Linked DNA regions of Caenorhabditis elegans. The protein of the gene in region 2 purifies or fractionates together with the protein of the main gene of each other region. This does not show direct contact. Each region holds a gene or a part of one and is shown on either strand. Other genes may lie near its edges. The genes, in order: sec-23, tfg-1 and sec-16A.1.

Region 1 (6,693 bases), on a different chromosome or scaffold from region 2:
ATTTTTCAACGGAGCTTCAAATTTCCAGCTCAAATTCTTTCATTTTGCTTTAAAAAAAAAGTTTCCTATTTTTAAATTTCCAATTTTTGAGCATGACGCTTTTTTATTCCTATAAAAAAACAAAGTTCCTGTAATTCCTCAAGTCCTCCCATTTGGGCCGTAAAGCCTAGTTTTGAGCCCGAAAAGCTCAAACTTTTAGCACTAAAATTCCCTATAAAAACACTTTTTTTTCTCTAAAAAGCTTGTCCAGCCTCAAAAACCTGAATCCTCACGTGGTGTCAGGTTGTCCAATAGCAGCTCCACTGCACACAAAAATAGCGGCGGGAAAACACACTTAAGCGTCGATCGATTTTTGTGTAATTTTGAAAATTTGCCAAAAATCGACGCTTAAATTTGAAAAAAATTATTCTCCAAATGCGCTGTGAATGTCACAAATATTCAAAAATATTTTTCCCGCCATTTTTTGTGTAACACCACGTGAATCATCCTCTAGTTTTTCACCAATAAAAGCAACCAAAAAACCCCATATTTTCCACAATTTTCCCACTAAATTACTCAAATTCTCCCATTTACAGTAGGAAAAACCCTAAATTCTCTCATTTCTAACCAAACTTTTTCGTCGTCTTTTCGTCTCCACGAAACCCCCTTATTTTCAGCGTAAAGCTCCAAATTTCGAGCCAAAATGCACTTCTTCCCAATCCTCCTCCTATCAATCCTACTGATTCTGATCTCCACTTGCTCATCAACCTTGGTCAACAACTCTCCGACCGCCGCCTTCGACACTAACGCCTATTCTGAGCTCAACGCAAAGGCAAAAGCTTCGATGCGTCGGTTGGCCGATATTCTGGACTTCGAGATGTATCAACGACGTTTGTCGGCGGCTCCCGACAACTCATATTATTATCAAATTTCCCCGCCACATCATCAACGCGTGAGTTTCGACGATTATTGATTGCTTTTTCACTATTTTTTGCTGCCCATTTTTCGTGTGCAATTTATTTCCCATCACCACCCTCCAAATACCCATATTTTGCATGTTTTTTCGCCGATTTTCCGCTGTTTTCCGAATAAAAACGTTCCAAGTTGATATATATGGGCTCCGTATCTTCCAGATTTCCTCACTTCCGCTGACCATTTTCCCGCTGCCAGACAAACGATTGCATCGGATAGGCGGAAATATTGTTATGGGAAAATAAAATGACATCTTCTTTGGCTACAAACACACTAATACTACTACTACTACTGATGATGATGATTATTATTTGTATTGTTAATTGTATTATTATTATTCATCTAATTAAATAATATTAATGATATAATACAACTGAATAATAATAATAATAATAATAATAATAATAATAATAACATGTTCAATATGTCTTATGAAGTTTGAATAAAAAAGTGTATAGTCGGTGTATAGTCGTTAATTAACCTATTAACTTAAAGGTGGTGTAGTCGAAAATTATTGAAAATTCACAGATTTCAGTGAAAAATTCGAACAAAACAAGGCTATACACTTTTTAATTCAATTTTCCATCCAAAATCTTATAATTCTATTCATTGGTTAGTAGTATGGTAATTCAATTAAATAATGCGCTACTTATGCTCAATTGACCCAGTTTTCTCGAAAAAGTAGGATTCTTCATAAAAAATAAATGTTAAATTGAATGTTATACTATATATATAGTTGTTCTGAAACGTTACAGCTCTGCGGAATAGGTAAAGGTGGTGTAGTCGAATTTTTTTTATTGCCTTATTAGACTCAAAATTGTCTGAAAACACCGAATTTCATAATGAAACTTCTTGAAAACTTGACAAAAAAAAGTTATGGCGGCTCAAAAAATGGCCTAAAATTAGTTAAAATTTGAAATTTGACCGACTTGTCAAGCGGCTGGAAACACTTTTTTTTTGAAATCACCGTCAAATTTTGAGTTTACAAGTTGATTATCTTGCGTTTTAAACTTGATTAAGGTATTTAAAAATCGATGTACGGCGAGATTTTTAATTTTTTTTATCGATAAACTCGCCGTCCATCGATTTTTAAATAGCTTAATCAAGTTTAAAACGCAAGATAATCAACTTGTAAACTCAAAATTTAACGATGATTTCAAAAAAAAAAATTTCCAGCCGCTGCGACATTGATAAGTTAGTCAAATTTCCGATTTTAACTAATTTTAGGCCATTTTTTGAGCCGTCATAACCTTTTTTTGAAAAGTTTTCAAGAAGTTTTATTATGAAATTCGGTGTTTTCAGACAATTTTGAGTCTAAATAAAGCAATTTGAAAAAAATCGACGACACCACCTTTAACTATTCCGCATTTTAGAGCTTTAACGTTTCAGAACAACTATATATATAGTATAACATTTAATTTAACATCTATTTTTAATGAAGAATCCTACTTTTTCGAGAAAACTGGTCAATTGAGCATATTGAGCGCATTATTTAATTGAATTACTATACTAGTAACCAATGAATAGAATTATAAGATTTTGGATGGAAAATTGAATTAAAAAGTGTATAGTCTTGTTTTGTTCGAATTGTTCACTGAAATCCGAGAATTTTCAATAATTCTCTAATTTTTCGCTATTCATTTTGCATTTACTTAGTGTTTTTTTTTTGGCATTTTTCGGCATTTTTCAGGCTTCTAACCCAAAAAATCCAATTTTCCCTGCAATTTATTACCTTGAAAACGTAGCTTCTCGAGATTCCCTGAGTGTTGAGCTCATGCAGCTGGACCATTCTACCGTAGGTGATCAATCCGACGAGAGCATCGGCTGGGAGCAGCGAGAGAGCAGTCTGAAATTGGAAAAATTGGGAAATTTTGCCCAAAAATCTGAATTTTACGGCAAAAATTGCCAATTTTCATGAAAAATAACACTATTATGTTTAAAAAAGTCGAATTTTCAAGCGAAAATGAGCAGAAATTCCCATTTTTCAGCAGAAATTCCCATTTTTGAGTGAAAAAATCACAAATTTTGAGTTGGAAAACCGACGAATTTTCGAGCAATTTTCCGCGAAAATTTTAAAAAACCGCCGTTTTTTTCTCAATTTTCTGCAATTTGTCCCGTACTTGAAGGCATTCTTTCAGCGATTTCAGCTCCTCTGCAGTCATACACGTGTCGACGACGAAAACGAAGATCGGCGGCATTGTGGTGGCTTTCTGGAATAAAGATTTGGCTTAAAACTCGGATTTTTCAGCATTTTCTCACTCGAAGCGTGTACTCAATGGTTGTAAATTGTGGATAGAGCTCCGGCGGGCGGTTATCCTCGGCAATTGCCGCATAATGAGCCGGGAACGGATTCCGATTGTTGCAGAATGGGCACATCCAGATTTTGGCGCGATAATCGACGGCGCTGAAAGCATCATTTTTCGGGGTGAAAATCGGGCAAAAAAAGGCCTGAAACTCACCAAAGTGGGTTTAAAATCGCTTTACAGCTGGCTTTTTGGCACAAAACCGGATCATATTCCAGTGGTGGTTGGGCGACTTCTGTTGATGGGCGCTCCTGGAAAAAAAATTTGGTTTTTGAGAGAAATTTGATGAGAAATCGTGAAATTTCAGCTTAAAATCGGCTTGAACTCCGCAAAATTGGATTAGCAGCGCCTAAAGCTTGTAGTTTGTAGTTTAGCAGCGCCTAAAGCTTGTAGTTTGTAGTTTCAGCAGCGCCCAAAATTGGATTAGCAGCGCCCAAAACGTGTAGTTTGTAGTTTAGCAGCGCCCAAAATTGAATTAGCAGCGCCCAAAACTTGTAGTTTGTAGTTTTAGCAGCGTTCAAAATTGGATTAGCAGCGCCCAAAACTTGTAGTTTGTAGTCTAAGCAGCGCCCAAAATTGAATTTTTTTTTTGCGTTTCTCAGCGGAATTTTACGATTTTTGCAGAGATTACCGACTTTTTAAGGTAAAAATGCAGAAATTCCGATGGAAATTGAGAAAAAAATCGCGTTTTTAATCGAAAAATTGCTGAAATTCATGCCTTCGGTGTTTCGAAGCTGCCGATCGGCTCGAGCAGCTACCAAATTTGAATTTTTAGAAGATTATAACGAATTTCTGGCAAAAAATGAAGCAATCCACTAAAATTTGCAAAGATTCGGAGAAAATTGATGGAATTTCGATGGATTTGAAGAAAAATTGCTGAAAATAGGCTTTTCCTCAGCTTTTGGCGCTGCTCGGCAGCTACAAAATCCAATTTTCAATGCTTAAAATTCAATAATTCCACGAAAAATTCGAAGAAAATCCAGTTTCCGCGCCTCAGTTTTACCTTCAGCGGCGTGAAAAAGCAGGTGAGCGGGACGACAAGCTTCTGAGAATCCACTCGACTGTGTGGCCACATGTTCCACGTGAATTGGACGCCATCGTTCGCCTGTTGAGCACCCAAATATTCTTCCCAAGTGGCCATTTTTACTGGAATAAACTGGTAATGAACTTTTTATCGCGGAAAATGATGAAAAACGAGGAGAATACGTGGATTACGTGTGAAATTCTGGTTTTTCACCATTAAATTTTAATTTTATTAATATAAAACACTGAAAATCACGTTTAATAGCGAAAAATCGAGTTTTTTGGGTTTTTATGGTTGCCCAATCAATTTTCGTCATTTTTTCGACATATGCAAGGTGAAAACTATGATTTTTACACTAAAATCAATAAAAATCGACTTATTTTCAATATTTTAGCAAGAAAAATCAGAAAAAATGGTGAAAAACGAGTGAAAATCTGCAAAATTCCAACAGAAAATGTACACGTGGAGGAAGATGGCCGAGAAAAGAATTGGAGTTTTCTAGGCCGCGGCCAGTGTGTTGTTTTACGATGCGTGACACTTTTGAAAATGTTTTTTGAGTTGGTTTTCTCGATTTCTACCGTTTTTCGTTGCAATTTCTGTATCTTTTTGGTGAATAATAAGTGAAAATCTCGATTTTTCAGTATGAAACGGATCGCCGACGAGGAACTTGTGCGAGAGGAGCGTGCAGAGGAGAGTACACAGAAATGGCTGCAGGATGCCAAGTTTCAAGAGATTTTAGGCGCTGATTCGTCGCATAAGGTGAGAAAATCAATAAAAAGTGAATTTTTTGCATTAAGAAACAATAAATTTCACCTAAAAATCATAAAAATCAATATTTTCTTCCAGTCTCTCTTCGTTTTGCTCTCCCATCCCGATGGATCTCAAGGCATTCTGCTTGCCAACAAGTCTCCGTTTTCCGAAGAAAAATCCGATATCGAGAAGCTTCTGGCGACTGCACAGCTTCAAGAAATCTCCAGAAATGACATTTTCGGGTCCTATAATATAGAAATCGATCCCAAATTGAATTGTAATCCACACAATCTTGCTTAAATTAATTTTTAATTCAATTTTCAGTGCTAAAATCTCAACTAATCTACCCGATAAACGATCGTCTCATTGCAAAATACCGTCAGGAGGAGAAATTCGTGATTCGAGAGACTCCAGAGCTTTATGAGACTGTTACAAGGCCGTATATTGAGAAATATCAGCTGAATCTCAATGTAAGCAGCGAAAAAATGAAGAAAATCGGAGAAAATACCAAGAAAATGAGTTTAGCAGCGCCCAAAACGTGTAGTTTGTAGTTTAGCAGCGCCCAAAACTTGTAGTTTGTAGTCTTAGCAGCGCCCAAAATTGAATTAGCAGCGCCCAAATCTTGTAGTTTGTAGTCTTAGCAGCGCCCAAAATTGAATTAGCAGCGCCCAAATCTTGTAGTTTGTAGTCTTAGCAGCGCCCAAAATTGAATTAGCAGCGCCTAAAACGTGTAGTTTGTAGTGTTAGCAGCGCCCAAAACGTGTAGTTTGTAGTCTAAGCAGCGCCCAAAATTGAATTAGCAGCGCCCAAAACGTGTAGTTTGTAGTCTAAGCAGCGCCCAAAATCACGATTATCGATTTTCACTCGTTTTTCTTCGATTTTTTCGAATTTTTTGATTTTTCTTTTGGTTTTAAGTGAAAAACAAGACAGAAAATGAGAATATTCTGCAAAAAATTGACAAAAACCATTAAAAATTCGTAGATTTTCTCTGTTTTTCAGAGTTTTTAGCGTTCAAAGTGAATAAAAATTCGGAAATTAGTAGAAATACTGAAAATCGCACAATTTTAAATGAGAAAATGCGATTTTCCGCTCGAAATTTCTTTTTCAAAAATCAATTTTTCGTTTCAGTGGGTGTACAATTGCCTGGAAAAGCGCTCGGAAGTCGATAAAATCGTGTTCGAAGACCCCGACAATGAAAATGGCTTCGTACTTCTTCAGGATATCAAATGGGACGGAAAAACCTTGGAAAATCTCTATGTTCTCGCTATTTGTCACCGCCACGGCCTGAAATCTGTCCGGGATTTGACTGGAGATGATTTGGAGGTAGAAAATCGGATTTTCTACCGGAAAATTGCAATTTTCGCTGAAAAAAAAAGCAAAATCACTCTAAAATGACGATTTTTCGCCCAATAAATCGCAAATTGTAGTTAAAAAACGTGAAATCTCTCTAAAATTGTCCGGAAATGGCAAAATCAAGATTTTACCGAAATTTCCGTCAAAAATCACCAAAAATGCAAAATATCTCTGAAAATCTGCAATTTTAGGCACAAAAGCAAAGAAAAATGTCAAGTTTCGCACAATAGTACCGATATTTATCTGAAAATTACATTTTTCCACTCAAAAATCGACAACTTGTAGTTTGTAGTCTTAGCAGCGCCCAAAATT
Region 2 (7,543 bases):
ATTTGAGTTAAAATTCGTCATTTTCCAGTCGAAAAATCGATTTTTTACCCCTAAATCTCGGTGAGGCTTACCAAACAAACTACAAAATCGGTTTAGCCTCAACCAAATTTGGTTGAGGCTAATGAGAGTTGTAGTTTGTAGTCTGAGCCTCAACCAATATTTCTAATGCTTTTTCGGTTGAAAATCGGGATTTTCTGAAGGACTTTGACACGGAAAATGTCGATTTTTGAGTATTTTTCTTGGAAATTTGAAAATTTGGAAATTTGAAGGAAAATTCGAATTTTAGCGTTGAAAACCTATAAATTTGAAGGATTTTATCCTAAAATCAGCATTTTCTAGTTGAAAAATCGATTTAAAACCCACTAAATCTCGGTGAGGCTTACACTACAAACTACAAAATCGGTTTAGCCTCAACCAATTTGGGTGAGGCTAATGGGAGTTGTAGTTTGTAGTCTGAGCCTCAACCAATATTTCTAATGCTTTTTCGGTTGAAAATCGGGATTTTCTGAAGGACTTTGACACGGAAAATGTCGATTTTTGAGTATTTTTCTTGGAAATTTGAAGGAAAATTCGAATTTTAGCGTTGAAAACCTATAAATTTGAAGGATTTTATCCTAAAATCAGCATTTTCTAGTTGAAAAATCGATTTAAAACCCACTAAATCTCGGTGAGGCTTACACTACAAACTACAAAATCGGTTTAGCCTCAACCAATTTGGGTGAGGCTAATGGGAGTTGTAGTTTGTAGTCTGAGCCTCAACCAATATTTCTAATGCTTTTTCGGTTAAAAATCGGGATTTTCTGAAATTTTTATGGATTTTTTTTAGAAAAAAAATGCTAAAAACGATCAATTTTTCTAAACAATTTGTTGTTTCCTTCCTTAATTACAGATAAAAAAGAAAAAAATTGTATTTTTCGTTAGGTAAGGCTCAGGCTACAAACTACAGAATCTGCCTCAACCACAATTTTTTCCTACGTTTTTGACGATTTTTTTGGCAAAACTATGCCAAAATTTGAAGTTTTCGCCCCAAAAAATGGCATATTTTTGCACTAAAAACTCCATTTCCCACTAAATTCCTATTGATTTCTTTCAGATTGACATTCGATTCGCGGCTCCACCACACAAAGGAATCTACACGTACAATTTGTCGGTCAAATCGGATTCCTATATGGATGCGGAGTATAGTGTTGATTTTAAGGTGATTTTTGATTGAAAATGACGGATTTTAATGCGAAAAATTGTAAAAAATTATATTTTCAGGCGAATTTCTCCTCAAAAAATCCATTTTCGACACAAAAAGCAGCAAATTTCTCAACAATAAATTCAAAATTATTGCAGATCGACGTGAAAGAGGCGAAATTCGTCGAAATCAAGCACGACGACTACGTGGATGAGGACGATGAAGCCGTCGAAGTGTCGTCGGACGATGATTATACAGAAGACGATGACTCGGATGAAGAGTAGCGAAATGCTCCAACAATTGCTCTCCAAATTATTCGTTAATTTATTTTTCAATTTTTCTTCAGTGGCCCCCCATTGTTCTCCCGCACTTTTCTCCAAAAAAATTTCAATCAATTTCTCTACTGGGTTTTCTGTTCTTCTAAAAGTAATTAAATTAAATATTTTATTTAAAAAAATTTGTATGTTTTCGTGTTCCCTATGCATTATTATTTCTATTCCCTTCCCACCAATCACATCACTTTTGAAAATGTTTCCTCTACATAGTTACATGAAATTTAGACCCTTTTTTCTATGCTTCAATTAAAAAGAATTTCAGAGACAGGAGCCCGAGATTTTTTAAATTCATATCATAAATATTATATACCACTAAAAAAAGGAGAAAGAGAGAGAGAAGACGACAAGAATTGATGTGAATTCCACGTGGAAAAGAGAAAAGGCGCTCCAGCGCTATATCACAAGGAAACAGGGGCGAGCGAGTAGAAAAGGAAACTTGTACACTAGGGGGGAAGGACGGGGGAAAACATAAAATATTTAAATTATGGGAATCAAACAAACAAAGAAGAAAACATCAATAAATTATCGATTAATTACTGCTGATACGGCGACTGGCGGTATCCCGTGGCAGATGGTCCTCGTGCGAATGGATTTCCTCCCGGGGCTCCGGCGGCTCCCGGTGGCGGTGCTCCGACTGGTGGGAATCCGGTTGGCGGTGGTCCGTAGGCTCCTGGGCCTCCTGGAGGTGGTGGTCCGAATCCTCCTGGGCCTCCTTGTGGTGGTCCGTACGATCCTGGGGCTCCTGGGCCTCCTGGCGGTGGTGGACCGTAGCCTCCTGGGCCTCCCGGCCCCTGTGGTGCTCCGAAGGCGGATGGTGGTGGAGCAAAAGCGCCCGGTGGTCCCGATTGTGGTGGAGGGGCAAAGTTTCCTGGAGCACTTGATACTGGCGGCGGTGGCCCTCCGAACGATTGTGGTGATGGAGCATGGAATTGCTGGGGTGGTGGAGCTCCGAAGGATCCTTGTGGTGGTCCTCCCTGTGGTGGCCCTTGTGGCGGTGCTCCAAATCCTTGCTGGGGAGCTCCCTGCGGTGGTGGGGCTCCGAATTGCTGCTGCTGCTGCTGTGGTGGAGCATATCCTCCATACTCTGATGGTGGTCCAGACGGTGGTGGCCCGCCAAACTGCTGCGGTGGAGCAAATCCTTGCTGCTGCACTGGAGTCGACGAGATCGAAGAGTGCGACGCCATCGGTGGTGGTGGAGCCTGGAATTGTTGCTGCTGCTGCTGTGGAGGCGGTGGAGCAAACTCCTGAACTGGTGGGCTCGCCGCATTCGACGTTGGGAACGACGGGATCGTCGCGTTCGGTGGCGGAATCGCTCCGAATTGCTCAATTGGTGGCGGTGGCTGGGAGCTGAAGCTAGTGTTCAGATCATCGGGAATTTGCTGATGTGGTGGTGGAGCATAGTGATTCTCCAACGGAATCTCCTCCTCAACGTGCGCCGGGCGATGATTGAATTGCTCGTGAACCGACGGTTGGATCGTCGCCGGGAGCTCGGCCTTCTCGGAAGGCACTGGCGATGGTGGAGCCGCTTCGAAGCTCTTTTGGAACACAATATTGTCGTGGTGAGATTGTTTTGGAGCCGAGAGATTCGCCACCGATGTGTTCGATTGTTCGGCGATCTGGGCAACGTCGAGAGCACTGAGAGCGCCAAGAAGCTTTCCAACATCAAGCTGAAAGAAAAATTGAATTAAAATTCGTTTTTCGCTAGCTGTAGTACTAGAAATTCCAATTTTTAGCCATTTTGTGTTAAAAATATTGAAAAAAAAAACCGATTATTTGGATAATTTTGTTTAAAAATCAATGAAAACGCTGAAATTTCTCCAATTTTTCAGTGAAAAACCAAAGATTTTGTGAATTTTAAAAACAAAATTGGTTGAGGCTCACACTATAAACAAAAAAAAGCTGCATAGCCTCACTCAAGCTTTAGCTAATTTGGTTGAGGCTAAAGCTACAAACTACAAAATCACCATAGCCTCACTCAAGCTTTAGCTAATTTGGTTGAGGCTAAAGCTACAAACTACAAAATCACCATAGCCTCACTCAAGCTTTAGCTAATTTGGTTGAGGCTAAAGCTACAAACTACAAAATCACCATAGCCTCACTCAAGCTTTGGCTAGTTTGGTTGAGGCTCACACTACAAACTACACTTGTTTCTTAGCCTCAACCAACATTTTTCAGTGTTTTTCCGGATTTTTTTTTGTCTAAAAAGCTCAAAAATGCAGCATTTTCGATGAAAATTCTGCAACATTTTGCATTTTCCCGCTCAAAATTGCGCTTTTCAGCTCAAAAATCGTTTTTTTTCGCTCAAAATCCTCCTTACCTTAATCTGCTCGACTTGCTTCTGCACATCGTGCACAGCCTCACGAGCTCTCGAGTCGACAACGACGGTCACGTCGAGCGTGGCTCCAGACGTGTGAAGAGCCAGCAGGAGGTCGCTATCCTCGGCGAGTGTCACCAAATCGCCTTCTAAAATTGACAAAAATTGAATTAAAATCGCAATTTTCAGTGCAATTCCTACCTTCATCCTTGTACTTCAACACGAAATTCGCGTCGGATGGGAGAGCCAAAAGCCGCTGCACATTGAGCACGAGATCGATGAGTGTCAAGTCGTTGGCGTGGTGAAGTGACGTCTTGCGGACGACGTCGGCGTGACGAGCCTTCAGAATTGTGCTCGTGATGGCTCCGTTTGAATGCACCATCTGGAAAAAACGGGGGTTTTTTAAAGGGAAAATTGGGTTTTGCGGGAGAAAAAGAAAGAAAAAAGCAAAAAAAAACCGGCGAAAATCAACTAGAAATCAAGAATTAAACACAGAATCCGAATTTTGGTGAGGCTCAGGCTACAAACTACGAAATTGGCTCAGCCTCACCCAAGTTTATCCGGAGCTCATATTTTTACGAAAATTTTGGATTTTCATGTGTTTTGACAGGAAAATTCGACTTTTTAGTTGAAATTCGACCTAAACGAGATCAAAGTTTCAAAATTAGAGCGGGAGTAGGCCAAAAATATGGTTTCATCGATTTTTAGGCGATTTTCCTATCGAAAATCTAAATTTTCGGCTCTAAAACCCACTTGAAACGCTATTTTCTAAGATTTTAAAGCAAGAAACCGGCAGAAATCAAGAAATAAAATAGTTCCACGTGTAATATAATAAAGCAATTCCATCGGAATCTCTAGATTTTCGCGGGTTTTCGGTATAAAAATCGGGATATGGCACATAAAATAAGTAAAGATCACGAAAATAGATCAAAATCTTCAAGATAATATTGAAAAAATTGCGAAACTAGGTCTAAAAAAATTCCACACGGATTTTCATCGTTTTTTGCCGGTTTTCTGGGGTTTTTTTATGGTGAAAATATCGATTTTAACCTCTAATACTCACTTTTCTTGCTATTTTTATGGATTTTCTGCAAGAAAACCAAGGAAAAATGGGAAAATAACGGGAAGAAAAACGATCCAAATCCGCGATATAAAATTCCACGTTCGGTAAAAGTGCGCCGCAGTTGCAACACGCGTGCCAGGATTGCAAATAGGGTACGCCCCCCGGCTAGACTCCGCCTTTTCAGTTATTCTTTTCGCGATTTTTTGAATTTCAATAGTTATCGTGTGGATTTTTCGCGTTTTCTGAAAAAATATGATAAAATCCTCTAATTTCAGCTCAAAAATGTCGAATTCTGACGATGAAATACAGGAAATTGAGGCTAAACGACAGAAAAGTAAGGCTTTGCAGCTGGAAATTCAAAATATTTGAATTTTAAATCAAATAAAATATATTTCAGTGTCCCAAGAAGATTCCGAGGTCGAAATCGAGATTCTAGATGAGCCGGAGCAAGGAAAACTGAAAAATTCGTCGAGTAAACCCGAAAAATCAATAAATTAAGGCGAAAATCCGCGATTTTTCAGTGAGCGACGAGCAAAAACTGCATGAATTTGCAATAATCACGGCCACAGATGAGGCTTTTGCGCAGTCGATTTTACAGGATGTAGACTGGGATTTGAAGAAGGCTCTGGACGTTTTTTACGGGAGTGAGGCGTTCGCAGAGGCCAGAAGTGCGGCCGTAATGGGCGCTTCATCGTCTATGGCGAGCTCTGGAGCTGCGGTGATGACGGCAGAGGATTTGAAGGTTAATAGAAGAATATTTGGAGCAAAATCAAGCCAAACCACCTAAAAACATCGATTTTCGAGTTAAAAAACCTCAAAAATGCTGCAATTTCCGTAAAATTTCAGTGATTTTTCACAGAAATCATTGAAAATTTGAAAAAAATCACTTTTTCAACCGGAATTCCGAAAAAAAAAATTGGTTGAGGCTCAGGCTACAAACTACAAAATCGGCCGAGCCTCACCAAAAATTTCCAAAGCGAAATCTGGCGAAAATACTTGAAATTTTCCTCATTTTTTATCAAAAAAACTAAAATTTCCATAAATTTTCATAGATTTCCTTCAAAAATCAGTAGAAAAACTAAAAAAAAATCACGCTTTCAACCGGAATTCCGAAAAAAAATTGGTTGAGGCTAAGACTACAAACTACAAAATCGGTATAGCCTCACCAAACATTTCCGAAGCATAATACTCGAAATTTCCCTCATTTTTCTTCAAAAAAGCTCAAATTTCCATAAAATTTCATGAATTTCCTTCGAAAATCTTTAGAAAAACTGAAAAAAATCACGCTTTTAACCTGAATTCCGAAAAAAAAATTGGTTGAGGCTAAGACTACAAACTACAAACTCGGCTTAGCCTCACCAAAAAAAAATTCACTTTTTTCGCGATTTTTCCAACAAATTTCAAATTTTTTCAGGGATTCGAAGTCAGCGTAATGTCGTGGAACATTGATGGGCTCGACGGGAGAAGCTTGCTCACAAGAATGAAAGCAGTGGCTCATATTGTCAAAAAGTGAGCAAAATCGGCGATTTTTCACGGAATTTTCAAATTTTTAGTTGATTTTGATGCAAAATCAGCAAAAAAATCACTAAAAACCGTCAAAAATCTTCAAAAATCAACCTGAAACGCCAAAAAAAAATTTCAGCGTCAATCCGGACATCCTATTCCTCCAAGAAGTCGTCGACCGTGATTTGGCGCCGATTGATAAGCTTCAATCGCTGTATAAAATCTATTATTCGAACAAAGGCTGCCAATATTATACGGCGATTCTTGTGTCGAAAATGTTCGACGTCGAGAAGCATGACGTCATTCATTTTCAGAATTCTGGAATGTACAGAACTTTGCAGATTTTGGAGGGATCTATTGGCGGTTTGAAGGTTAATTTTTCAGAAAATAGACGAAATTTTAAGAAAAAATCCCGGAAAACCGCTAAAAATGAGTGAAAATGATGGTTGAGGCTACCCAAATTTGTAATTTGTAGCCTGAGCCTCAATCAATTTTTATCGCAATAATCGAATTTTTCAGTTTTTTACTGAAAAAAAAGATTTTTTGAAAAATTCTCGCATTTTAATCCATTTTTTCAAAACAAAATATAAAAATTCCCGTAAAAATCAATCAATTTCCGCAAAAAATACCTTAAAATCGAGCAAAATGTATATTGGTTGAGGCTAACCACATTTGTAGTTTGTAGTGTAGGCCTCAACCAATTTTTCCCCTCAAATGTTTTCCCTCTTGTTTTTCTTGCAAAAAACTTCAAATTTTTACAGAAAATGGGATTTTCCACTGAAAAAATCTAGATTTTCAGGTTTTAAAATCAATTTTCGGTCAAATTTTACGGAAAATCCCTATGTCTTCCTGAAAATCTCTTTTTTGTTGTAAGATTTTCGAGATATAATTGATTTTTTTCAATCAGAATTCTGCAATTTCTAGCTGAAAATCACAGTATGTAGTGTGAGTTCGAAAAAAATTCGTTGAAACTTTGGTGAGGCTAACCAAATGTGTAGTTTGTAGCCTGAGCTTCAATCAATTTTATTTGTAATTTTTTTGAATTTTTCAATGATTTTTGTCGGAAATACATGAAATGTTATGGAAATTTGAGCTTTTTTGAGAAAAAATGTGGGAAATTTCGAGTATTTTCACCAGATTTCGCTCCG
Region 3 (9,017 bases), on a different chromosome or scaffold from region 2:
GATCCAATGACATTGAAGGAAATTCAAGTCGAAACGGAAGAAGCAAAGAGTGAAATTGATGAACAAGGAAATATGATCGGGAAAATGACAATAGGAAATTGTTTTTGCAAAGGTTTGACTGCATTTTTTCAGAAATTTCTTCAATTTTTGGAGATTTACAATCTGAAACAAATTTGAGTTTCTCAAGCTGGAAGTCTTTTTTCGAGAAAAATTATATCTCACTTTCCAAGTAGTGAAAAATCATAGAAAATTCCACAGACATGGTTGATTGAAAATTACAGTACACTTCAAAGGTGCACACCGTTTGCATTTAATAAAAATTTGATGTGTCGAAACCGGATACCGTACAGTATTCGCATCGGAGCAAAATCTAAATCAACAAAAATTCAGACGGATTATGAATAAGACAAAACAATTCATAAAGTTTATAAGGATAACAACTAGACGCTCTGATGATATCAAAGATTAAATGAAACCTACAATGCTGAAAACTAAAAAAAGGAAAACACTCTCCGAACTTTTCACCCTAAATGGGCGGAGTGTGACACAAAAAAGGTGCCTTCAATGACAGCAAAGTGGCTATGGAAAAAAAGGAAAAAAGGGGAGCAACTTGTGGAAAGTTGGATTAAAAGGCAGAAACAAGAGGTAATGGAAGGGAAAGAGAAGTGAAGGGGGCTAAAACACCTTTTAGTTTACTTGGTTATAGGCATTCCAGGGGGTTCAGGAGAAAAACAATTTGATTGTTAAATTTATCATTTCACATTAACATCACAGAATCCTTTGTAAAAATTGATAAGCGATACAAAGTTTTGAACACAACAATATGTTAAAGGAAAGTTTCACACCTATGTTCATGCCTACACGCCTTCTGCATGCCTACTGTTTACATGCCTGTTTATTCTTCTTCTTTGTGCTTGCCTGAGGCGTCCTCGCACGCCTCGCCTGCCTGGCCTACTAGAATGTGGACAAAAATTAATCAATATCAAATTTATTCTGAACGTCATTTTTCCAATAAATTACGATCCATCAGTGAGCTACTTCAATCCCATCTCCCATTTCGAACGTAATTGGTGATCTCTGAAATTTTGGAAATATACACATTTATTCAATTAGTCTCAATAAAACTCACGACGCTACTCTTTCTATAGCTTCTAACACTATTTTTATCAGTACGAATACCGTAGTGATCAGCGACCGAAGGTGAATGTTTCGCTGCTCCATTCACTGCGATAGATGCTCCTTCTGAAAATCTTTTTTCTGGAAACTGCCTGAAAATAATTGTGACCTACTGGCTACGGTATCCCACCAAGTAGTCATTCTGAGCGAGTTGTAGAGAGAAAAACCGACGAGAAGAAGCTCGAAGAGCACTGAGTACCAAGACTTTAAATATTCGAACATCAATCAGAAATATTAAGAGAAAACTCACGTCCAGTTGATACATTTTCGAATTTGCGAAATAATGGTATTCGATTAGTTTTTTGTTTTGTTTTTAATTCGATTTCAAATGTAAAATTCAAATAGTGATTTCACGGTACATTATATTTATTCATTTCAGTATATATTTATTTACCAGAGAATCAATTCAGAGCACATATTTTCTCGTCAGAACAAAGAAAAACTAGCCTACTTATTTTTCAGATAAAACCGTAACATATATAGTTGCACAACAAAAAAGAAGGAAGATACTATGGAATAATCACAGAAGTTTTTAGAGGAAACGGGCCTGACCAGATAACAGGAAATGGTTATTTGAAAGAATGATAGTGGGTGGGAGGGGGATACAAAAGGCGATGGGGACGACAACACATATAATTTGGAAGAATTGAAGCATATTAATCGTTATTCTGTTTGGATAATGATTCGGAAGGAGCCGTTGGTTCACCGCTGAATGGATCAACATATTCGGAGGAATCATCTGAAAATGAAATTAATTGAAGAAAAAACTAATTCTCAATTAATTATACCTTCAGTGGGTGCAGGCATAAAGCTGAATGACATTGGCATGGTTGGAGGCATCATCGGTGGCATTCCAGTGTCCATAGCTGGTGCTTGGCTAGTGGCCATTCCCGATTGAAGATATCGTGATCCAACTCCACTTCTAGCACTTCGCAGACTATTCGTGCTCGATTTGTTAGAATCAGGACCTCCACCCATCAAATGAGGAGCTGACATGACTGGCGGTGGAGCAGCTACGACCTCTTCTTCTACTCCAGCACCAACATATCTTTTCTGAACAGGATCCCAAACGATCTGAACAAATGAATATTTGATATTCAAAAAATCGGCTTTCAAATTAACATACACTTGGCTTTGAATCGTCAGGCAGGATCATTTGGTTTGCTGATGGAATCGATTTGATGACTTTTTCCTTAATCGATCCGAACCATCCTTTAGATGCTTTTCGTTCATTCAATGCAAGTTCAGGTTGTTTCTGTGGGACAGGCGGCGCAGTCTTTAATAATTAAAAATAATTACTTGTCATTCTGAAGGTTTCACAGAAAACTCACAGTTTTAGCATTTGGAATAGATGCTTGTCCTAGTGTTGCTTGTTGAAGAACCGGAGCAGAAGAAACGGCTGGTGGTGGTGTTGGTACACTTGGAGCTGTTGGGTTTGCAAAGTTAGGTGCAGGCGAATAAGATGGTTGAATATTTCGCGGTGCAGGTGGATATGAAGTTTGATTGCTTGGCGGTGAAGTGTCCCATAAATCATCCAGTTCCGAACGAGGACTTTTTGCAATGCTGGCGTCAACAGGTTTCGGAATAGGAATAGGTTGAGGTGATACCATGATTGGAGTACTGACAGGTGGAATAGGCATCGATAACGTTGGCATCGGTGGCTTCACAATCGCTGGAGGCGTCATCTCAGGAACAACATTTTTAGAAATTGGTGGTGGTGTTGAGATTGGTTTTTCGATAGTTTTTGGAAGGGATGGTGGTGGTGGTAAAGTGGATGAGGTCAACGTTGAAGTTCTTGATGCTGACGCAGCGACAGTAACCGAAGAATCGGATTTATCTGTAAATGTCGATTCAGATGACGATTCAGTAACCAGGGTAGGTGGAGGCAAAGAAGCACGTCCGGGTGCAATTGGTTTCTCGACAGTTTTATCGTTATGTTGTTGATCGTTACGTGATCCAATCTCCAGCGGCGCTTGATGCTCATCATGCCATTTTTTAGCTTCAGACGAAATAGATTTGTTTTCCACTGGTTGTGGCTGTGGAACATGTTGTTGAGATTCTTGAACTGGAGCTGCACCTAGCATTCCTCTCATAGTTGTAATCCAACCACTTTCATCAGGAGTTGCGGCAGCCATGTATTGAAGACTCTCAGCCAGATCGCAAAGATCAAACATTGCATTTTTATCGAAAGCTGCGACATACATCCACAACGATCTTGCTACTTCTGTACAATATCTGAACGCATCCGTAGCAAATCCACCAAAAGACGACAGCTTCTTTGCGTATTCAATACGAGCTAACTGATAATCAATCGATTTTGCTAGTGGTGAATCGACATTGTTATTTCCCAGTCGGAGAGCATAATCAAAAATATCAGTAGCATGAAGATCAGTGAATGAGAATCTGAAAAGCATGTTTTATGTTATGCATATTGTGTTAAGTAATCTTACCCAGCGGTTCCTGATAGTCCATCAACTCGATTCAACAAGTTAGATCCACTATGCACAAGGCCGATGTGCTTTCTCGAAGTTTCATCTCCGTCGTGAGCCACTGGAATAAATGGATCATAACCAGCCAGAATGCATACAACAAGGAGACAGAAATCAGCAGCACAGTTTCGTTCTCTTTTTGCTAGGAGCAAGCCGAGATGATAGATCTGAAAAAAATTTTACAGTTTTAGTTTTGCTTTTCTCCTGCCGTACCGTTTGCATAGCGGTCTGCGAGTTTAGATTCGCAAGAACAATGGCCGCATGTCGTTTCCAATTGTTGTCATCATCGAACGCCGAATTCGTCAGAATCGGAGGTGGTTGATCACTTGAAACTGCAACCAGTGTTGCGAATGGATCGTCAATGGAACGAAGATTCATAAATCGTGCCTCGATTTCCTCAATTTTCTTAGCGTCATTTGGATGCAGTCTACGGATCAATGTCATTGCGTCGGCATAGAGTCCATCGGTTATAGCACTTTCAACAGCTTCCTGAAAAATTATAATTATTTAATTAACAAGATTAGACAAAATTACATTAATGTGACCACCAAGAAGATACTTATTGAACCGCTCCTTTGCTTCGAACTTCGAACCAGACTCGGATGTCCCATTGCTTGAAATTCCAGTTTTTTCACCAAGTTCTTCCGAGGCATTTGTCAGCAGTGTTGCTACATCGGGTCCGGTGACTCTCTTAAAATGTTAAATTCCTACTAAGTTCTCAAATTAAAACAATTCTTACTCCATGTTGCTGAACCATGATTTCGAGCAATTGCCAGACGAGAAGAGCATCCACCACCTCACTTTTCTTTACGTCACCAGCATTTCTGATCTGGCGAAGAGCGTCGATTTGTCGTTGGATGTAGAGACGAACGGAATGAGTTGGAGTTTGTCCAGCAATCAGTGGTCCTTTAAAGTTCTGAACTGATTCGATCACTTTTCCAGATTGTTCATCGAAATGAAGAAATGTTTTCAGATCATCCACATGAACGCTGGATGTACTTAGAACATGTCCAGTGATACTATCGATGGTTCCCGCTGGTTTAATGATCACCAATTTTCCTCCAACACCAATGGTAGCAAACTGAAGGCAGGAGTGATAATGAAGTGGTCCGTTGCTCAACACTTCTTCGGGTTGCGAGATGTTAAGTTTTGGCTCTTCGCGTTCCTCGATTTTATGCCTATAATAATATTTTTGCTCATTGTACCGTTGGTTCCATACTCACTGATTGAAATCCAGTTTCTCGCTCTCTGCAGCTTCTTGTCGTGCTTTTTCGTACGCCAATCTGTCGGCTTCCAGTTGCTTCAGGGAGAATTCTTCTTGCATCCGCTTGCAAACCTGTAATTTAAAATATGAAGCAATTCAATTTTGTCAGTAATCTTACCTTAAAAAGTGCCAGATCTTTAGAATCACCATACCCGCGGTAGGAGTAGAATTCACGATTAAAAATTACGTGAAACTCATCAATATTGTTGTAAGGTTTGTTATTAACGGCACAGTAGAATACATAAGCGACACGGTCGATTGGCGGCATCTTATAGTATTTTTCCGGAGGAGGCATCGTTCGGAACACATGATCAACAATAGCAGAGCCAAGTTTCACAACTCCGTAGTAATAGCTTTCACTTTCGCTATTATAAACTTCAGAGGCAAGGGTATTTGTTACACTCCTGGAGCCTTGTGCTCGTCCTTCCATATAAAAATTTCGTACTTCTTCCTCTTCTTCGTCTTCTTCCAGCTCTTCTGAAGTCTTATCAGACTCTCCACTATCATATACAAAACCATTTCTCATTGAAGATGCGTTCGCATATCTTTCAGCAGCAGTTGATCGTGGTCTCACAGGCTCACGGTGGTTGTTCGGCAGCAATCCCACACCAGCACGACTATTCGCGTAATCACTCGCATATCCAGATGCATTTCGAGCTGAAGGAGCACCAGAGAAACCTTCGCTTGGGCCACGTGAAGAGTTTTGGTGATATCTGCAAATTTCCATAATTAGAAGAAGAAACTCCCTTGTTTTAAACCTTGAATAAGTACGGTCATATCCATTGAAAGTTGAGTTGAGGCCTCTTGAACCATTACTCATTCCAGTACCCTGCCGGTTACTCTTTTGAGATACTGGGCGAGCTGGTTGAATAAGAATGGGTCTTCTTGGTTGTGGAATATCGTTGTCCAGCCGACTGCGTCGAGGCCTGAAAAAAAAGCGATGAAAAGATATCGATCGGCGTGTGAAATTCTTGTATTCACTGACCTTGAATGGTTAACGGATGAAGCGTCATCATCGCCTCCTCTAGAAGACGGAGGTGAAGCATTGTAAGGATTATTCCAGTCACTCATATCGAAACCAGAAGCTGAAAATGAATAGTGATTGATAAAAATTGTTGATAAATCGAATTTTATCATACCTCCGGCATTCATTCGTTGTTCATACTTCATAGAATCGATCTGTAATAAATTAGGCGAATATACAAGTTAAGTGTCGAGATGTTAAAGTCTGTTGGGTAAATATAGAGAGGCAGAAGACAAGGGAAGAAAAGAAAAGAAGGGGCAAATTGAGGTCAACCGTGTCACTTTAGTGCCAACACGGCGACGCAAAAATGCACGGAAAGGGCTGCTGTGGGGAATATGGGAAAATGGGAAAATTGAAAACAAGAATAGTTCAGTTTTCCTTTGTTGGAAGTGATACGAACAGGTGAAAGTGAATGGGAAAATGATATGAATTTTGTTTTTTATTCTTCCAAATGGTAAAATAAATTCGGTTTTTACTTGTTTTCTTAATGGCCTTAAGATTTAAAATTACAATTTTGGGAAATCTTACCCTGTATCGCCGCATTTTCCATTCGAAATCCATAAAAATCGTGGGTTTTTGGGAATTTCCAATTTAAAGTTCAATTCAAAACGCCGCACGGATGTGTTAAAAGCGCGGTGCCACGTGAAGCCAAGCTTAAAAATAAAATAAGACAAAAAGTTCACGCGAGAAATGAATAAACGCGAAAAAAGTTCGAGGTTGAATGAAAAAAATAACTGATAGAAAAACTGTCGTCAGTTTCGGTGCTTGCGGAGTGAACATTGTGTACCGTAGCCACAAAATCGTAAAATCGAAAGCAAGGATTTATTTATTTGTTAACAGAAACAAAGTTGTTTAATAAATACGAAGATTTGTTTTTTCACGAAAAGAACTTATTTTGCTAAGGTATCTTTTATCTCCGTGTCACACCTAAACGGACCAAAAATAACGGGAAAAACAAGGAAGATGACGATAATTAATTAATGAATATACATAATAATTGTGTTAAATTAAAGGAAATAATATTAAGTAATAAAGTGGCGACAAGGAGAAGTATTCTTGGTTCTCCGCATTCGCGACAGTTCTTACAGTTTTACTGCACAACACTCCGCAAACCTAACCAACAATCGCTCTACAATATTTAGAAAAATTTGTTTCAAAACTGCTACAGTACCCCTACATTTTTTGTTAGGCCTCTCATTATATGTGTTTTGGTGAGTGCTTTATTTTTATTCTTCCAAGCTTTATTAAATTATCTCTTAGCTATCAGCTTTAAAAAACAAACATCGAATAACAATTTAAGTGAATTCATAATTTATGAAAGTTGTAGCATTATAACCCGTATATTGTCTTTGCTCGGAAAACAAGATCTGCTTGCCATGGAAGCACTGTTCCACGAATTGCACTCGTAGGAAGCCACGAATAACCGATAATTGTGGTTATTATACGTCGTTCTCGGAGAGAAATAGCCCAAACATCATGCTCCGTCCACGCGTTGTCTGTATCGTTTTCATTTTCTGCAACTTCTGAAGCCAAATGAGCAGGACTCGTGTCATTGGATGGTATTCTTTTGTCCGCAGTGATAATTGAGCTATCCAAACGTCGCATTGAAAACATCTGAAAATACATCACAAATTTTTAAAAGTAATCTTTTTGGTTACTTACATGAGCGTCAGAATCTGAAATTCCAATCATCTTCAAAATAGATGTCAGATGTTCATCTTTCGACGAGTTCTCCAGATGCCATTCATTTGGAATATTCTTCTGACTATCAACTAGAACTTGACATTTCGCTTCAACTCCACCACTCAAAACGACATAATAACAACGTCGATTAGCACCAAATCTCGGATGATTTCCTCTTCCAGCCATTCCAGTTCGACCATTCGGATTCAATGGGAAGCCGGCAGCTGAGAGCTTCCAACATTTATCATTACTACTAGTAACATCATTTGCCTGACGGCTTCTCCAAATTCGTTTTAGTTCTCCAACATTTTGCTCCGTGGCAATATCAACATACTTTTGCACATCTGATGGAAAATCTTCCGCAGGCTTACAATAGAAGGGGGGATTGTATCTAGGTACAAGCACTGTCCATGGCTTAGACACCATGTTCACACTAATCTTCAGAATGTTACTTTCTGGGTATTTCTCGAAAAATTGAAGTTCTGAAGCTTTTCGTGTACCCGAATTTTCATATGAATCTCGCAAAGTCATCATTCGAATGTGGTTCTGAAATTATTTTCAGTTTTAAACTTGTGTTTAAAAAAATAAATCTTACATGAATATTATGAAGTTCCTGAAGTTCTGATTTGTTTGCTGATATCTTCGCTTTCTGCTGTGTATTTTTCCATTGTTCCATCGAAAGCTTTCTCCAGAATGAGTTCACAAACTCGTTTCTCTTGAATGGAACAGATGGGTTACGGTAGATTGATCCAAATTTCCACGTGGTTCTGCACTTGTCTCTCGCTTCGAAATCAGGATGATCAAAGTCTGAGAAGAAACCGGAGAATGAGTTGGAGAAGCGACAACAAGCCGAGCAAATGAGACAGAAAATGGTAAGTGGTGGAGGAAGTGGTGGGCGCAGTCTGAAAATTGATGACCTCAAAGATGGAGTACCGTCAGTATTTTGTCTTTTTGTCAGTTCTAAAATGTTGCTTTTTGATAAATATTTTTTGACCATATACATATCAACTTTTTTGAAAAGTTTAAATGTTTTCAGTAATTTTATTCAGTAATTTTATCACCATAGGAGTAAGATTATACATTTTCCCTTACTGGAATGTTTTGTAAAAACTAATTTCCATTCTCTTACCTAAAATCTTCCGCCAACGAGTACAATTGGAATCTCCAAATTTTATCAGCCTCGTCGTCCACATTTTTTGCAGTTTTTGAGAAAAATGCAAAAAGAATTGGCCACAGCAACAATTTCAGAATGACAAAGTATTCGATTACTATCAAATAGGCAGGAAGAGATTGTGAAGGACATGATGGATTTGCATATTGGCCTACTGACGAACAATATCTTTTTGGAGCACCGAGGAACGATTTGCGACAAGTTTCCGAT

Evidence for each region.
Region 1: the proteins of tfg-1 (region 2) and sec-23 fractionate together in Caenorhabditis elegans (co-fractionation; one study listed by BioGRID). This does not show direct contact.
Region 3: the proteins of tfg-1 (region 2) and sec-16A.1 purify together in Caenorhabditis elegans (affinity purification with western blotting; one study listed by BioGRID). This does not show direct contact.

What each region holds. Positions count from the first base shown.
Region 1 is NC_003283.11:20,088,970-20,095,662, reverse strand, and holds the start of sec-23 (Protein transport protein SEC23), read right to left. Parts: upstream 4,401-6,693; 5' UTR 4,396-4,400; coding exon 4,258-4,395; intron 3,506-4,257; coding exon 3,411-3,505; intron 3,356-3,410; coding exon 3,211-3,355; intron 3,162-3,210; coding exon 3,072-3,161; intron 2,798-3,071; coding exon 2,684-2,797; intron 1,411-2,683; exon of another isoform or gene 1,197-1,410; coding exon of another isoform or gene 1,113-1,196; intron 953-1,112; coding exon of another isoform or gene 683-952; exon of another isoform or gene 655-682; intron 1-654. Other genes in the region: nlp-69 (Neuropeptide-Like Protein), read left to right, coding at 683-931, 1,113-1,196; dcs-1 (m7GpppX diphosphatase), read left to right, coding at 4,921-5,037, 5,125-5,305, 5,353-5,498, 6,157-6,351.
Region 2 is NC_003279.8:14,098,715-14,106,257, reverse strand, and holds tfg-1 (Protein tfg-1), read right to left. Parts: upstream 4,937-7,543; 5' UTR 4,893-4,936; intron 4,212-4,892; coding exon 4,031-4,211; intron 3,979-4,030; coding exon 3,833-3,978; intron 3,183-3,832; coding exon 2,049-3,182; 3' UTR 1,788-2,048; downstream 1-1,787. Other genes in the region: dnj-29 (J domain-containing protein), read left to right, coding at 1,094-1,198, 1,339-1,464; tdpt-1 (5'-tyrosyl-DNA phosphodiesterase), read left to right, coding at 5,175-5,226, 5,290-5,364, 5,414-5,634, 6,307-6,401, 6,535-6,766.
Region 3 is NC_003281.10:9,123,318-9,132,334, reverse strand, and holds sec-16A.1 (Protein transport protein sec-16A.1), read right to left. Parts: upstream 6,497-9,017; coding exon 6,482-6,496; intron 6,109-6,481; coding exon 6,069-6,108; intron 6,015-6,068; coding exon 5,915-6,014; intron 5,856-5,914; coding exon 5,688-5,855; intron 5,643-5,687; coding exon 5,048-5,642; intron 5,002-5,047; coding exon 4,889-5,001; intron 4,844-4,888; coding exon 4,405-4,843; intron 4,356-4,404; coding exon 4,200-4,355; intron 4,155-4,199; coding exon 3,879-4,154; intron 3,833-3,878; coding exon 3,627-3,832; intron 3,580-3,626; coding exon 2,508-3,579; intron 2,453-2,507; coding exon 2,303-2,452; intron 2,251-2,302; coding exon 1,965-2,250; intron 1,916-1,964; coding exon 1,833-1,915; 3' UTR 1,528-1,832; downstream 1-1,527. Other genes in the region: ZK512.10 (DUF4752 family protein), read right to left, coding at 1,027-1,077, 1,130-1,242, 1,290-1,380, 1,427-1,441; Protein ced-11, read right to left, coding at 7,283-7,567, 7,616-8,182, 8,232-8,538, 8,766-9,017. UniProt on the Caenorhabditis elegans protein: Plays a role in the organization of the endoplasmic reticulum exit sites (ERES), also known as transitional endoplasmic reticulum (tER).